2 linked regions of the Sus scrofa genome follow. The protein of the gene in region 1 purifies or fractionates together with the protein of each later gene. This does not show direct contact. Links are inferred from orthologs where the notes say so. Each region holds a gene or a part of one and is shown on either strand. Other genes may lie near its edges.

Region 1 (4,401 bases):
CAAGTAAACACTTCTGAAAAACTGCTCTCCTCTTTCACTAGCTCAGCTGTTATCTATAATTAAGGACTCTAAAGAAGATAATCTATTTGCCTCCCTACAAGTTTAAGAAACCCCCCTCGGTTTCTTTGGTAGTATAAAACCATAGCACCAACATTTCAGTCTGTATCTTTGCAGTGTTTAAGAGGCCATTCTCATTCACACTAGTTTAAGCACATTAAATATATGCACTCTGGGGAGTTCCTGTCATGGCTCAGTGGAAATGAATCAAAGTAGCATCCATGAGGATGCCAGTTCTCATGGTTCAATGCTAGTCCACTGGTTCGAGCCCTGGCCTTGCTCAATGGGTTAAGGATCTGGAATTGCTGTGAGCTGTGGTGTACGTTGCAGACTCGGCTCAGATCTGGCGTTGCTGTGGCTGTGGTATAGGCTAGCAGCCACAGTTCTGATTCAGACCCTAGCCTGGGAACCTCCATATGCCGCAGGTGCAGCCCTAAAAGGAAAGAAAAATAATGCACTTTCATCAGATGGTGGAAATGGAAAAATACAAGCTTTAAAGCCCTTTAATTATACAAGCTTCCTGCAATAAACAGGAATAAAAGTAAAAGACACAATAGCTTGCCATCCTTACAATTTCAGAATCATAGAATTCTGGAACTGAAGGCAGTTTAGCGCTAGCCTAGCCCCCCACAGTACAGACAAAGAGATCTAAGCCCCATGACCTACCCACAACCACACAACTCTCCCAGGCAGGGATGTTAAGGCTTCACTGAGAAAGCAGGCAAAGCTCCAACTGCAGCAGTCCTGCCCCCAGCATCGCCCCCTGGCTGGGCATTTTGCATGCACCACAAGGGGGACAGTCCCAAGGAGAAAGAAAGTATTCTGAACACTCAGGAACACACATTTGGGGTTGGCATGAAGGTCACTGGTGGGGTTAGCAAACTCCCCACACCAGACCTAAGATCTGATGAGGAAAGCTTTCCCAAGGCAGGTGAAATCATGTTATTTCACAACTTAAACACCTGTTTTACAACAATTACCAGGAAAAAAACAGAGAGACTAGGAAAAAAGGAAGAAAAATGACAAATCTCCCCTGTGATGTCCTGTGTCTGCTTAGATCACCCTAAAATAGGGAGCTTCCCTAATGCTGACTTTAATATGGACCTTCCTAAAGCTGGTCCAACTGGTGTTCAAGTCCCGAGACTGAAAAACAAGTTTATGAGTAGCAAGGTCACCTGATTTTGACCATGTGCATGCTGTTTACCCTAAGATGACAGGCCAGTGGCTGCCGCAGCTTTGATGAATGCTGCAAAGACTTTACTACTCCTTTGAAGTCTAAAGGGGCCTCTACATGACTAATAACCATAAAAAGGAACCTTGAATGCAGCAAGAGTGTGAAAGGAGGGAAGTCACAAACACCCCACAATAATGGGGAAACTCCATTCTGGACACTGAATTGTTAATGTAAACTTGGTTCCCTCACCTATGAGGTACCTCATTTCGTCATCACTAAAGAGAAGCCCCTCCTCTACACCAGGTTCCTAACTGCCATCAAAGGCTGCTGCTTAGACCAGGCCATGCCTACAGCCAGGTAACAGAGGCAGCCACTATTAATCCCCTCTGCAGCCCAGACCCATACAGCTCAGCAGCTCACACAAGTCACAAGGGTCAATCAGGAGACCTCAAACTTTGACCAAAAGGAACAGCTCAGTATTGGGCTTACCCATCTCTTCCTTTGCTGACAATCTTCACCTCAAAGTAATAAATGCCACAGGCAGCAGGTATGGGGTGGGTGGCGCGCACTGAGGCTGCATCTTTGTGATTTTTGCCATGACCTAGTAAGAGAGGACAAAGAAATTTCAGCAAAAGGAAATGCAAATGGAAGACTCATTCTTCTCTGCTCCACAGCAACTTCACCCCTCATAGCCAGAGGAAGCCCTTTCCTGGTCCAAGGTGTAATTAGACAACAACTGAGCAAACACACAAACCTCCCACCTCATCCTCAGAACAGTAGCACTGTCTGAGACACTGTCTCCATACAAACCACAGGAGGCATATGCAAGGTGGGTGACAAGTGAGAGATTCCCTCGTGCTGCTGCCAGACTCTCCAGAATACAAGCAGCCAAGCAGCCCACTTAGGAGACTAAGGGAGGAAGAGGCAGCCCTGGAAGATGGCCCCACAACTTTAGCACAGAACCGTAGGCAGTGTCTGAGATGTCCAGCAGGTAAGCAAGCTCATGCACCTCTGGCTAATAGAGAGGATGAGACCACTAATGTCTACAGAGACGTTTAAAGCTAAGCAGTGGTGAAGGGCCCAGGGAGAGTTCCAACTACCACAGGACAGGCAAGAAGGCCTTGGGTGCAATGTCCAACCCAGCACTGGGTTTGGACACCTGTTGAGGTTCTCCTGACATCCGAAGTCTCACGGCAGAGTAGGCTAAGCAGCCAATCCTCGGTCTGGTCAGCCCACCACCCAAACACCCAACAGGAGCTAAGGCCTAATCCGGAGCTTGGGGAAAGGAAGTGATGAAGCAGGGGCTGGACAGCACAGCCACCCTGCTGACGCTCTGGCCTTTTACCCCCCGCGGCCAAACAGGCCGATACCTTTGTAGTGGACGCGGAGGTTGCCCTGGGAGAGGCCGATATAGTTGTACTTGTCCTTGGGGCTCCAGGAGCGCGGCAGCGGCGTCTCATGCTGGTTGACCGCGGGATACAGGCGCTGCAGGCGCCGGCTCAGTTCCTGCTCCCCCGGAGACGGCAGCCCGCCCCCAGCGCCCCCGCCGGAGGAGTCTCCAACCTGCGGGCTCCCAGCTCCCGGATCCGCCGTCGCCGCCGCCATCTTGGAGGGAGCTGCTATTGTGTCACTGGGGGCGGGGAAGAACAGGACTAGATCCGCCCCGCTCAGCCAATGGCCGGAGAGCAAACCCGGGCCGCAGGGAAATCGAGTCCGAGTTAGGTACCTCTCTTTGCATACTGCCACGCCCTGCCATATTTCGGACTTCATTTCCCAGAATGCAGAGCTCTCCATAGGGAGGCTAGCTCGGGCTGGTAAAGAACTTTGGGAGATGTAGTACAAACCGACTCAGTCATAAGCCTGCTTAGCCAAGCTATTAGGACACCAAAAACTACAGTTCCCGCTGGCAACGCGATTCTGGCCTCTCACTTCGCCTCCCTCACCCATGGCCTCTGTTTATCCTCCTGCCTCAATTCTGGTCGCTAGAGTCATATCTGCTGTAGTGACAGACTCTGAGAAGACCCTATTCCCAAGTCTGACCCCATCTTGGCTACTTGGCCTTCCTCCTAGCCCGCGGGCTCTGGGCTGGGGGCAAGACACAACCTTGACCCCGCCCCCGCCGCTGGGCTGCTGGGAACTGGTCGCCATGGCGACGAGCTGTACACTAGCACGGCTTTCCAGTTCGCGAGTGCTGGCTGCACGGCTGCCCTAGGGTCATGGCCTCCTCCAAACCGCAGTGCCCCAGCTTGGCGACCACGTCGAGGTAAGCGCTGGCAGGGCTGAGGGCGGAGAAGAGGGCTTTACTACTTCCAGAAAAAGAAATAAATGGTACCTGATTCGGACCTCTCTCCGTTGGTCTGGGGCTCCAACCGCACAGGATAGGTGATGAAGAAACAGAATCTCAGATGACTCCTCAGCTCAGGGAGGCCGTTACATTCTTGTAAAAGGGCAGGCATACTTTATCATTAGTAACAGCCATCTTGTTTGTATTGAGCGTGCCAAGTTTTTTTGTTTGTTTGTTTGTTTGTGTTTTTTTATCTTTTTAGGGCCGCACCAGCGGCGTATGGAAATAACCAAGCTAGGGGTCGAATGGGAGCTGCAGCTGCCGGCCTATATCACAGCCACAGCAACACTAGATCCGAGCCACGTCTGGGACCTGCACCTCAGGTCAGGACAACACAAGATCCTTAACCCACTGAACAAGGCCAGGGATGGAACCCGCATCCTCACGTATCTTCTGTCCGGTTCTTAATGCGCTGAGCCACAGCCGGAATTGTGCCATGCTCTTTACATAGCACAATTAACCCTCACAACAACTCTATGAATTAGTAATATCACCATTTTACAAATAGAGAAATAGAAGTCTAGAGAGATCATGAGTTTTACACCTGTTTATAAATGACTGAGCTAGGATTCAAACCCAGCCAGGCATGTGTGATTCCTGAAACTGAGCGCTTAGCCACAAGGTTAACAGCCTCTGCACCCACTGGTTTATGACAAAGAAGCATCACTAAGCAGCCTAGAAACATCCCGAGGCCTCCTGCTAGCTCCTGCCTGTATTCAGGGTGCAGCCTCTGGACACTGAAAATAAGATAACAAGCTCCGTTAGCCAGGAAAGTCACAAAGCATATATTTAAAACAAAAAATTTTGGAGTTCCCATCGTGGCTCA
Region 2 (4,596 bases), on another chromosome or scaffold:
TATATCTCAGATTCAGCGTAATACCCACACTGCCTGCAGAGGATTTTATCTGCTTTGAAAATATCATAACCCAGATACCAAAACCTGATGTTTACTGACTTCGTACATAAGAACACCATAAGGAAGGTTTTATTTTGAAAATGAGACTTGGCATTTAAGCAGTATTTTTTTCATATTTTATAGTTGCCTTTAGTCATGTCATCCTATTAGCAAAGAATTGGAGAAAATCAGAGATATCAATATAAGACTGCAATTTGGTAGACAAAGTAAAAAGCAGGAGGCTGAAAAGAAAACATGAGCAATTCATCACATCAGACTTTTTAAACAGCCCAGCAAACTCTGTGGCTAATATCCTACTGGCTGTAAATTCCTTGAAAAGTTCCCCAATAACAAGCGAGGAGGTCTAAAATTCCCACTTTAGCAATTTCTCCAAATTATTTTGTCCACCCGGGATGGACCCCAAATCCCCTACAACAAGGTTCACAACCACATCCCCCTTCAATTAGCATGCCCTCTATCTCTCTCTCTCTCTCTCTCTCTCTCTCTCTCAGGGAAGAAAGGGATTTTACTTTCCATCTTCTCTCTCTCAAGCTCTGCCTAACCCAGCCCTCAATCTCTGACCTGGTCAGTAAAACTGAAATGTTCCTTCTGCCTCTCCAAGTCTACACCCTTCACTCACTCCTTCCCTTTCAGTCTTTAACAAGACCAAGATTTCCTCCCCAGTGGAGGGGGAGGGGCACTCCTTCAGTCCCTTTACTGAAGCAGCCCCCTTCACCTTGATCTGCACATTCTTCTTACCTCTCTGTCACCTAGTTTATTTTAACAATTCTATGAAACTGCAAGTAAAGAGGGTCACTGACTCCCAGCAGCCACAAACCTTGACCAACCTCTCTTTCTCTAAACCCGTCCTTTCTGCAGGCTCCTCCTGGCCTTCCACGCTTCAAGGCTATGCTTAGATCCTAAAGTCTTTCCTCCCTGTGGCCTAAGGGCTCTCCTTCCCTCTCCCGCAGAAAGGACACCAGGAAACCACCCTAGACCTTACCTCCTCCCAAACTCCACCTATGTATCTTCAGCCACCAGAAAATATCACTGAGCTCTTGACTCAATCTTCATTAGCCCTTCAGCTTCTCACTTGTCCAAAACCAAGTTCACCAGCACCTCCCCAGAGTCCCACCCCACTCTAGGTCTACTTCCCCTTCAGAAGCACTAACTCTCAGGATAAAGCAGTCTGGGAAAGGAAGGTGTGCAAGAAAGAAGGAGCGGTGGAGAGAGGCTCAACTAGGACCACTCTCCTCAACCTCACCTGCCAGGTCTACACATCCCCCCAAACCTTCCTTTTCAAAAAAATTCTGTTCTGCCTCCAAGTTGAAAAGGCCTCCGAACAGCTCTTCAATAAATCCATCACATAAAGTCCTTTACTTCTGGCTCAGAAGGAATCACCACTGTGGATATTTAAATTCAAACATCAGACGTTGAATGTTATTTAAAAAACAAAAAAAAACAAACCCTTCCCAAGCAGCTTCCACAAATTAAACTTTGGCAAAGTATCTGCCCCCAGGGTCTAGGCAGTAACCATATAGGAAAAACACCTACTATAGAAAATCTGTTTTCTGAAAGGAAAACAAGTTAAAAACTTGACCAGGTAAGCAAGTTAACTACCAACTTGTGCCACAATGTGTTTCTGGAGAGTTCCTCCGTCTCATCACTGGCTCCAGGAGGAGAGCTGAACAGTTTGGTTCAGCTAGTTTCCTAGCAATCAAGTCAGTGCCGCTGCCGAATTAAAGAAAAACTGCTTCCACACAGAGTTAAATTATGGAGTTGCAGAAGCGGCTGTTCTGTTAACCCACAGCTAAGAATAACACTCAACTTTCTAATTTAAAAAAAAAAAGAAAAAGAAAGAAAAGGAAAGACGAGAAAAGTAAGTCTCTGCGCTAAGAGTTTGGGGCAGAGAAGAAAGAGGGGGCTCCCTGCACTGACTCTCTGTTTACCCAGAGCCTTATGCCCAAGGCAACTGACCAGGGGAGCCCAGCCCGGGAGGGCGGCAGTTTGCAGGTGCGACGGACGGCCCCACCCCCGTTTAACCTGGGCTGGAGCCCCAGGCTTCAGAATTGGTTTTCCGGGTGGGTTCGGGCTCACTCTTAATTAACAACGAGGTCGGGGTAAGTTGGAGACAAAACCGGAGAGAGAAGCAGGAAAAAGCCAAAAGGGCCGCAGGGAAGGAGGAGCCGAGGCCCCCGGAGGCCACCCTTCCTGGCCCGCCGAGGCCTGGCCCCGCGCGCCCACCCGGGCCGCCCTACCGTGGCTCTGCAGGATCTCGTGCTTGAGGCCGCCCGTGTAGTCGATAAGCTCCTCCAGGCCGCGCTCGCACAGCTGCCCGTAGCCCGAGAACTTGTGCAGCACCTTCTCCAGCTCGCGCTCCACCGTCACGCACTGATCCATCCCGGAGGCGGTGGCGGCAGCGGCGCTCGGCTGCCCAGCGCCCGGGTGTCCGCAGCCGTTCGGCCCGGGCCCGGCCGAGGCCGCGTCCTGCTCCTCGTCCCCCAAGCGGGCGGCACGGGAGACTGAAGAGGCGGACGCGCTAGCCCCGGCGCCGAGGGAGCTCCGCGCAGCCCGCGCCCGCCTGCCCCATGGCGCCCCGACCCCGGCGCGTCGCCGCTGCTCCCGCTCGTTCTTCCCACCCGGCCCCGAGCCCCCGCTCGCCGCGTTCGCTGTCCGACGCGGCGCCGCCGATTGTTTTTGTTTTCACGGGAACCGACCGATGACCTGGTTCTCCCGGGCGGCACCAAGCGCCGCCGACCCGAGGGGGGGCAGCCACCCCAGCGAGGGATGGAGGCGGCGGGGGCCGTACCAAGCGCACGCTCGTGGCGGGGGGAGGCGGCCGGCGAGCGCGGGCGGAGGAACGTGACGAGCGTCCGCTCGCGCCGCCGCTCTAAAGGTGTGGGCCCTACCACGCGGGAGGCGTGCAAGGGAGCGGGAGAGGGCGGAGCAAAGATCCAATTGGGCCGAGGAGCTAAATAGGGAACTTTGGAGCCAGCCCCAGAGCTCCGAGAGCGCTACAACTACGCGCTCCGTAAACAAGAGGGTGGAAACCGCCCGTCACCACTCCGCCCAGAAACGGAGAAAACGAACCAATAAGCGCCGAGAATACGTAAGGAACGAACGTCCTCCAATCCCTGGCCGAGGCCTAATCCTTCAGCCAATCTGGGACTAGAGGCCAAACCAATAGTCTCGCTGTTGGAGGGGGTGATTTGGAGAGCATCCTGGGAAGCAAGTCGTTTCTGGAAAGCCGTGAGGGAAAACAAGGCAGAAATAAAAAGGCCTATTTCCCATAGGACTTCGCCCCAGCCCTGAGTTATTTCATCTCCCTGTCATTCCTGAGGGTACTGTCTTCTCCAAGTTTTGGAAAGCAGACTCGCCGCCCCGAGGAAAAATCCAGCCAGGCCGAGCGGAGTGGGTGGTGCTGCGGGCGGGGGTCGCTAACTGGAATAAGAAGAGGGGGATTCTGAGGTGGGAGAAGGGGGCTGCTTGTTGGCCGGGCGTGGCCCGCGATCCTGCCTCGATTCTCGCTACACCGGGAGGTCACAAGCCTTACACCTCCACCCCCACCCCCGCGGGCCTCGGCCCTTTGGCCCCTGGGACTCTCCTGACGGGTTGCCTCACCCCGGGGGCAGCATCACGGAAGGGAAACTTGCGTCGGACCTCGGGGCAGCCTGGCTCCTGCCTCTTCGGCTCGTTATTCCATTGCTTCCGATGGAGTTACCCCCTTCGCGTGAATCCTTCCCCTGACTTGCCATGGCGCCTCCTACCTTGGCCTGTACCTACTTGCTCACTAAGCTGTGACTGCCCCGACCTTAGCTTAGCGTTCCTCCTAGAAGCCAAGTTGATGCTTGCCTCAGGACCTCTGTACTTAGCCTTTCTTTGGACTAGAAAACTCTTCCATCGTGTCATCCTAAAATTTTCGGCTCACTTGTACCACAGAGGGTCCCCCCCTGACCACATTCCCTCCTCCATTACTACACCATATTTATTATGGTCAATCATAGCCGTTTTACTATTTTCTCACCACTTGTTATCTGTTTCAGTTATTTTCATTCACTTTTCTGTCTGCACTCCTTCAATAAAGCGCTAAGGCAGCCCCCTGGCCTCTGTTTTCTGTGCCCAGAACAGTGATTGGCAACATAGTACCTGGTCTTTTTATTATTATTATTATTAAGGTAAAACCTTTTTGAGCCTCAGTGTCTCTTTTTATAGTTTGGTAATAATTAGAACTAATAATACTTCGATCTATTGTTAGGAAAATGAAGATAATTTAGGTAAACACCCAGTAGCACATGATAACTACATGATAAACAGTGGTGGTTGCTACTAGTGTCAGTTCCCAGGAGTAAATATGAGATGGCAACTTAAAAATCATGGAATCACGTTGGTCCAGCACCTACCTAGTCGTTTTATTTAGTTCTCCGTGATACTCAAGGGCAGCCGCACTGTTGCTCTTACACATGGCCTTTCTCTTCCCCACCTAACCTGTTTTCCTTTCTCCTCTCTCCCTTGACAGGTGGCCCTGATTCCTCCTTCACTGAGAAGGTAAAAAACATT

The links.
Region 2: the proteins of RANBP10 (region 1) and RMND5A purify together in Homo sapiens (affinity purification with mass spectrometry; 4 studies listed by BioGRID and IntAct, counting the BioPlex papers as one, with this or other methods). This does not show direct contact. The link is inferred for Sus scrofa from reciprocal best matches to the Homo sapiens genes RANBP10 and RMND5A.

What each region holds. Positions count from the first base shown.
Region 1 is NC_010448.4:28,425,512-28,429,912, forward strand, and holds the start of RANBP10 (ran-binding protein 10), read right to left. Parts: upstream 2,873-4,401; 5' UTR 2,837-2,872; coding exon 2,602-2,836; intron 1,833-2,601; coding exon 1,721-1,832; intron 1-1,720. Other genes in the region: TSNAXIP1 (translin-associated factor X-interacting protein 1), read left to right, coding at 3,448-3,494. UniProt on the Homo sapiens protein: May act as an adapter protein to couple membrane receptors to intracellular signaling pathways.
Region 2 is NC_010445.4:58,093,783-58,098,378, forward strand, and holds the start of RMND5A (protein RMD5 homolog A), read right to left. Parts: upstream 3,071-4,596; 5' UTR 2,440-3,070; coding exon 2,298-2,439; intron 1-2,297.